Linked DNA regions of Canis lupus familiaris. The protein of the gene in region 2 interacts with the protein of the main gene of each other region in a pairwise test. Links are inferred from orthologs where the notes say so. Each region holds a gene or a part of one and is shown on either strand. Other genes may lie near its edges.

Region 1 (3,741 bases), on a different chromosome or scaffold from region 2:
AGTATATTTTAACATTTAGGGGCGCCTGGGTGACTCAGTGGTTGAGTGTCTGCCTCTTAATTTCAGCTCCGGTCATTATCTCTGGGTCATGAGATCAAGCCCCCAGTAGGGCTCCATACTGGGTGCAGAGTTGGATTGAGAGTTCCCCCTTCTGCTCCTCCCCCCACACTCACTCTTGCTCTCTCCTCCTCTCTCTCAAATGAATAAATCTTTTTTAAAAATATCCTTATGGTACTTAAAAAAAATAAGCTAGACTTGTTGTACCTGCTGTGGGAAAGTGAATTCTATTTGAGATTTTTATCTCAGAGCTACCACACTACCATATCTAGCTCTGAATCCACGCAGGAGTGTGAGCTGAGAGTGTGCACATGTCATCTAGTGCAAGCAGCTGTCCCCAGGAGAAGGTCTGGAACCTTGGGGCACAGAATGATGTGTGTGTAGGGTTTCTCATAATCAGTTTTTAAAGAAAACTGATGCAAATGTACATTTACCCTTAAAATATATTTCCTGCCACCTACATAGAATTCAATAGCTGTCTTCCTTTGAAGAGAGAAAGAATCAGCACGTTAATTGAATAAAATCAACGGTGAAATTTTAAAAGGAGGAGGAGTGTGAAAATGATGAGTTTTACATCTTTGAAGACATGAGAACTGGAGTCTAGAGGTACCCGGCCCTAAACTGCTAGATAGGCTCCAGCAAATTCTCACCAAAAGTTTCATGTCTAGCTTTTTCTGTTGCTTCTTTTATCTTCTGGTCTCGAACCTGAATATCCCAGGCTTCTGTGTCTCCCTGGAAATGGAAAACAAGGGGAGACCAGTTACAGCCAGATAGTTTTAGTCAGTTGATAACAATCCCACTTACCTTTTTAAAAGCCTTGTTCCACTGTTAACTAGTTGTCTTAGGTGCACATCAGGTCTTTTGATACCTGGATGCCTTTGCTTATAGTTGGTTCTTCCTCCTGTCCCCAGAGCTTCCTTCTCCCCTTCTCTTCGTTAATAGGTGTCCTCAGAACAGGCTTAGGCAACACCTCCTCTGGGCAGCCCTCTCTGATTTCCTCCCCCAGACCCAGTATGTTCTTCCCTGCCTCACAGCATTGATTCCACTGCATAGTAATGTGACCGTTTTAATGCCTGCCTCTCTTCTCCTTCCTGGGCCATGAACTCTGCAAGGTCAGGCAGGAATTGCCATGTTCCTCCTTTTGTGCCCCCCCCCAAAAAAACCTGCCACAAAACAAATAAATAGACTGGAAGGAGCCCCTGGCAAGTGTAGAAAATCTGGCTCAGGGAAAGGAGATGTGCTCAGGTCTCCGTTGAGCCAGTGGGTGCAGGCGAGCCCCCTCCCTGCTGCAGGACTCCATTTTCCTGCTGAGCAGGTAAGGGGATGCAGTATCTGGTGTGCCCTGCAGGTGAGAGGGTGCAGTGTCTGGTGTGCCCTGCAGGTGAAGGGGTGCAGTGTCTGGTGTGCCCTGCAGGTGAGGGGGTGCAGTGTCTGGTGTGCCCTGCAGGTGAGGGAGTGCAGTATCTGCTGTGCCCTGCAGGTGAGAGGGTGCAGCGTCTGGTGTGCTGAGGTGAGGGGATGCAGTATCTGGTGTGCCCTGCAGGTCAGAGGGTGCAGTATCTGGTGTGCCCCGCAGGTGAGAGGGTGCAGCGTCTGGTGTGCCCTGCAGGTGAGGGGATGCAGTATCTGGTGTGCCCTGCAGGTGAGAGGGTGCAGTGTCTGGTGTACCCCACAGGTGAGGAGGCGCAGCGTCTGGTGTGCCCTGCAGGTGAAGGGGTGCAGCGTCTGGTGTGCCCTGCAGGTGAAGGGGTGCAGTCTGGTGTGCCCTGCAGGTGAGAGAGTGCAGTATCTGGTGTGCCCTGCAGGTGAAGGGGCTCCCTCCCCCTCTCCCCCCGCCACGAGGTCAGCAGCCCATTCAAGGAACCCGTCTCCCCGGGAGAGCCGTCAGCCTTTGCAGCTGTGCCTGCATCCGCGGTTTCCCCGCCCGCGCGGTTCGCCTCCGCTCCCGCCGCCCGCAGCCCGCCGCCCTCGCCACCCCCCGCCCCGCACATGCCCTCCCTGCCCGCGGGCCTCACCCCCACGATCCGGTTCCTGGCGTTGAAGACCCGTTTCTGCCTGCACAGCTCGTTGTGCCTCCTTTTACCCAGAGCCAAGTCCTGCCCCAGGTCCCTGGGCTGCGCTAGCTCCATGACTGGAATCGCGAAGAAATTCTACGGGTTTTTTAAGGCCTGCGAGGTGCAAAGGGAAAAAGACAACGAAAATAAAAGTAGTTGTAGCCTAGGAGAGGCTGGTTCCGCTGCAACACGCGCCCCCTTCGCGAGCTTTTCAGTTCGGCTCTCCGCCACCTGGCGCAGGGCGCGGGGGCCGGTTTCCTGGGAGACGTAAACAACCTGGTTGCTTAGGAACGGCGCGGCGCCCGCTGGGGGTGGGGATGGCGCGCTCTCTCCTCTCGCGAGACGCCGCGAGGCCCTTCCCGCGCTTTTCCTGCGGGCGTGCGAGGAGGACGCGTGAGGCGCGGAGGGCGCAGCCATGGGCCGCCTGGAGGTGCTGCTTGTGGAGAACTTTAAGTCGTGGCGGGGCCACCAGGTCATCGGCCCCTTCAGGAGGTTCACCTGCATCATCGGCCCCAATGGCTCCGGTAACTGGGACCCTGAAGCCTCTGCCCGCCCCGCTCGTCCAGGCCGCATTTGGCCCAAGGGGACGGAGGGCGGCCTCGGGTGCGGGACTCGGGCGTTGGCCACCCGCGGGCCTCCGCCACCGCGCCGCCCCGGGACCCCGGACCGCGACCGCGACCCCGACCCCGGACCGCGACCCCGACCCCGAGCCCGGACCCCGACCGCGTGCCCCACCCCAGCGCCCGGGCCCGACTCCGGACCCGACCCTCTCCTCAGAACCCGGGACCCTCTCCTCAGGCCCCCGACCCTCTCCTCAGGACCCCGGACCCCGACCCTCTCCTCAGGACCCCGGACCCCGACCCTCTCCTCAGGATCCCAGACCCCGACCCTCTCCTCAGGACCCCGGACCCCGACCCTCTCCTCAGGACCCCGGACCCCGACCCTCTCCTCAGGATTCCAGACCCCGACCCTCTCCTCAGGACCCCGGACCCCGACCCTCTCCTCAGGATCCCGGACCCCGACCCTCTCCTCAGGACCCCGGACCCCGACCCTCTCCTCAGGACCCCGGACCCCGACCCTCTCCTCAGGACCCCGGACCCCGACCCTCTCCTCAGGACCCCGGACCCCGACCCTCTCCTCAGGATCCCGGACCCCGACCCTCTCCTCAGGACCCCGGACCCCGACCCTCTCCTCAGGACCCCGGACCCCGACCCTCTCCTCAGGATCCCGGACCCCGACCCTCTCCTCAGGACCCCGGACCCCGACCCTCTCCTCAGGATCCCGGACCCCGACCCTCTCCTCAGGACCCCGGACCCCGACCCTCTCCTCAGGACCCCGGACCCCGACCGCGTGCCTCACCCCCAGCTCCCGGCCCTCTGCTGTCCAGGACTCAGACCCCAATTCTCTTCTCGGGACCCTGACCCTCCAGGACTTGGACCCCAGACCTGACCCTCATGCTCTGCCCTCACCTCCCATCCTACGCGCCACCTGGACCACCGACCCCAGCCTTCTCCTCAGGACCCCAACCCTGTCCTCAGACCCCCGCCCTCCAGTGCCCAGACCCCAGACCCCAACCCTCTCCTCAGGACCCAGACTCCAACTCTCTCCTCAGGACTCCGGCCCTCCAGTG
Region 2 (3,741 bases):
AAAAAATTTTAACAATTTAGTATGTAAAAAAATGATACAGGGGCACACGGCTAGCAGTTGGTAGAGCATGTGATTCTTGATCCCAAGGTCTGAGTTCAAGTCCCACACTGTGCATATTTCCTTAAAAATAAAATAATATAAAAAAATCTTAAAAATGATACCTTCTCTAGTACAGTTTGGTAAAACTTAGTCTTCTGTAATTTTCACATCTGTTTTAGAGTAAATGGCTTTTTTTGTTTTTGAGAGAGAGTATAATCGGGAAGAAGTAGAGAGAGGAGAGAGTCTTAAAAATAGCCTGGTGCTTAGCCTTCAACATGGGGTTTGATCTCTCAACCCTGAGACCATGGCCTGAGCTGTAATCATGAATGAGATGCTTAACCATCTGAGCCACCCAGGCACCCCTAGAACTAACGGCTTTTGAAAATCATGCTGAATGATGAAAATTGTATTCACTTATTTTAAGTAGGCTGCACACCCAACATGCCCAATGTGGGGTTTGACCTCATAACCCTGAGATCAAGACCTAAGCTGACATCAAGAGTCCAGTGTGCAACCGACTGAGCCACCCAGATGCCCCTGTTCACGCATTTCTAAGTGTTTTGTTTAAACTGGAGTATTCTGATAGATCATACAGTGACACGGTTTGGAGATACTTTTTTTTTTTTTTTATTTATTCATGATAGTTACAGAGAGAGAGAGAGGCAGAGACACAGGCAGAGGGAGAAGCAGACTCCATGCACCGGGAGCCCGACGTGGGATTTGATCCCGGGTCTCCAGGATCACGCCCTGGGCCAAAGGCAGGCGCCAAACCGCTGCGCCACCCAGGGATCCCGGTTTGGAGATACTTTTAAAAAAATATAGATTTTATTTCTTTGAGAGGCAGAGCAAGCATGAGTGGGTGAGCCTGGAACTCAGAGGCCTCAATGCCAGGAGCTGAAACCAAGAGGAGGCTTAACCAACTGAGCCACCCAGGTGCCCCTGGAGATACTTTTGCATTAAAGGCCTAGGACCTGTCTATTTCCTTGCCTTGTCACTATATTAAAGGGTATCAGGCCATTGTTAGTTTGCCGATTTGTGCCAGGCAATTTAAGGGCCTGTATTATTTTAGCAACACTGCTAAAGTCACTTCATTCCTAACGTGCTGCACGATTTAGGAGCTGCGCGGGCAAGGACGTCTGCATACCGTTTCTCCAAGCACAGACCATCCACCTGCAGCGAACACACCTGTGTCGACGTTCCAGATTTAAGCTGTGTGATCTGCTCTAAGATGAGGTCTGTATCCTCAGCTCCTACAGCGGGTGACAGGAGGCCATCAACAAGGAAAGAAATATTTTTTCCAAGTAGATATTTCGGAGCAGGACCACACCTCGGACCCGGACCGCAGGCGCTTACGGGGCCGCGCAGAGACCCGCGCATGCGCAGTCGAGGTCGTGCGAGCGGAGCCGGTGGAGGGCAGTGCGCGTGCGCGGCCGGCTCGCCCGCTATAGGCTGCTCCGAGGCGGGAGCCTTAACCTCCGGGAGGTGACGGGACCTCGGGCGCCGGCTGTCTTGCTGGGACGCGCGGCTTCTGTGGGATCTTCGCCCGTACGTCCTCGGAGGGGGCGGCTTGGGGGGCTGCGGCGGCCTGTGCGGGACGGCGTGGGGAGGGGCGCCGAAGGGGGCCTGCGGGGGCGGAGGGAAGGAAGGCGGCGGAGCGGCGGGGGGAGGGGAGGGGAGGGGTGCGGAGCGACGGGGGACGGAGCCGAAAGGGAAGGGGCGGGGCCGAGTGGGGGCGGAGCTAGAGTGTGAGGGGGAGGGGGCGGAGCTAGAGTGAGGGGCCGAGTGGGGGCGGAGCTAGAGTGTGAGGGGGAGAGGGGGCGGAGCTAGAGTGTGAGGGGAGGGTGAGGGCGGAGCTAGAGTGAGGGGGAGAGAGGGCGGAGCTAGAATGTGAGGGGGAGAGGGGGCGGAGCTAGAGTGTGAGGGGGAGAGTGGGGGCGGGGCTAGAGTGAGGGGCCGAGTGGGGGCGGAGCTAGAGTGTGAGGGGGAGAGGGGGCGGGGCTAGAGTGTGAGGGGAGGGTGAGGGCGGAGCTAGAGTGAGGGGGAGAGAGGGCGGAGCTAAGTGTGAAGGGCCGAGTGGGGGCGGAGCTAGAGTGAGGGCGGGTGGGGGCGGAGCTAGAGTGAGGGGCCGAGTGGGGGCGGAGCTAGAGTGTGAGGGGAGAGTGGGGGCGGAGCTAGAGTGAGGGCGGGTGGGGGCGGAGCTAGAGTGAGGGGCCGAGTGGGGGCGGAGCTAGAGTGTGAGGGGAGAGTGGGGGCGGAGCTAGAGTGAGGGCGGGTGGGGGCGGAGCTAGAGTGAGGGGCCGAGTGGGGGCGGAGCTAGAGTGTGAGGGGAGAGTGGGGGCGGAGCTAGAGTGAGGGGGGCGGAGCTAGAGTGTGAGGGGGAGAGGGGGCGGAACTAGAGTGAGGGGCCGAGTGGGGGCGGAGCTAAAGTGAGGGGCGGGTGGGGGCGGAGCTAGAGTGTGAGGGGGAGAGGGGCGGAGCTAAAGTGAGGGGCCGAGTGGGGGCGGAGCTAGAGTGTGAGGGGGAGAGGGGGCGGAGCTAGAGTGAGGGGGGAGAGGGGGGCGGAGCTAGAATGTGAGGGGGAGAGGGGGCGGAGCTAGAGTGTGAGGGGGAGAGTGGGGGCGGGGCTAGAGTGAGGGGCCGAGTGGGGGCGGGGCTAGAGTGTGAGGGGGAGAGGGGGGCGGAGCTAGAATGTGAGGGGGAGAGGGGGGCGGGGCTAGAGTATGAGGGGAGGGTGGGGGCGGGCTAGAGTGAGGGGCTGAGTGGGGGCGGAGCTAAAGGGGGCGGGGGCGGGAGGGATGGGGCAGGGGCGGGGGGACGGAGCTGAATAGGGCGGGGGCCGAGTGGGGGAGGAGCTAAATGCGGATGCGGGTTGGGGCGGATATAAGATGCGGGGGCGGGGTCGGGATGGAGCTAAGGGGGAGGGTGGGGCGGAGCTGAAGTCTGCGGAGGTGGGGGGGGGTCGGGGTCGGGGTCGGGGGTGGAGCTAAAGTGTGGGGCGGGCGGGTCGGTCGGGGCGGAGCTCATGTGTGCGGGCGGTGGGAGTCGGAGTGGGGGTCGGAGCGGAATGCGAGGCGGGCAGGGTTGGGTTCGGGAGGGATGGGGGTCGGGGTCCGGATCAGAGCTAAAGTGCACGGGGCGGGGGGGGGGGGGGGGGGGGGGGGGGGGGTTGCGGCGTCGGAGGATGGGGACGGGGTCGGGGTCTGGAGGCGGGGCGCGGCCGGTGGGGGTCAAGGCAGTGTCGGGGCCGGAGTTGGAGTGTGCGGTCCGGTGCCAGGAGCATCGGGTGGGGGGGGGGGTCGGGGGCGAGCTGGGGCCGGGGCTGAAGAGTGAGGGTGTCGGGGTCGGGGGGGTCGGGTGGCAGCAGGGTCTTGGCGGTGCGCAGGCCCCAGGGAGGGGCGACCGCGGGCCGGGGGTCTCCCTGCGGGGCCTCCCTGTGGGGCCCGCCCGGTGCTGGGCTGTTTGCCGGGGCCTCCCGAGTTGGCCCGCGGGGCTGGCAGGGTCGGGGCCCCCCCCCCCCCCCCCCCGTGCGTGGGCACCGTGGGCGGCGCGGTCAGGAGCCACGGGGGTCCCGGGGTCCCGGCGGGGCCCGCTGCTGGGGGGGTGGAAGGCGGAGGGCGGGGTCAGCGGGGCGGCGGCTGGCCGTCGGCTCCTCCTGCGCAGAGGGGTACTGCTGGCGCCCTGGAGGCCTCGGGGACCCGGGCC

The links.
Region 1: the proteins of RAD54B (region 2) and RIBC2 interact in a two-hybrid assay, tested with the Homo sapiens proteins (2 studies listed by BioGRID and IntAct). The two-hybrid records come from large-scale screens. The link is inferred for Canis lupus familiaris from reciprocal best matches to the Homo sapiens genes RAD54B and RIBC2.

What each region holds. Positions count from the first base shown.
Region 1 is NC_049231.1:21,585,124-21,588,864, forward strand, and holds the start of RIBC2 (RIB43A-like with coiled-coils protein 2), read right to left. Parts: upstream 2,379-3,741; 5' UTR 2,187-2,378; coding exon 2,073-2,186; intron 790-2,072; coding exon 708-789; intron 1-707. Other genes in the region: SMC1B (structural maintenance of chromosomes protein 1B), read left to right, coding at 2,527-2,635. UniProt on the Homo sapiens protein: Microtubule inner protein (MIP) part of the dynein-decorated doublet microtubules (DMTs) in cilia axoneme, which is required for motile cilia beating.
Region 2 is NC_049250.1:39,849,172-39,852,912, reverse strand, and holds the start of RAD54B (DNA repair and recombination protein RAD54B), read left to right. Parts: upstream 1-1,450; 5' UTR 1,451-1,584; intron 1,585-3,265; exon of another isoform or gene 3,266-3,322; intron 3,323-3,741. UniProt on the Homo sapiens protein: Involved in DNA repair and mitotic recombination. May play an active role in recombination processes in concert with other members of the RAD52 epistasis group.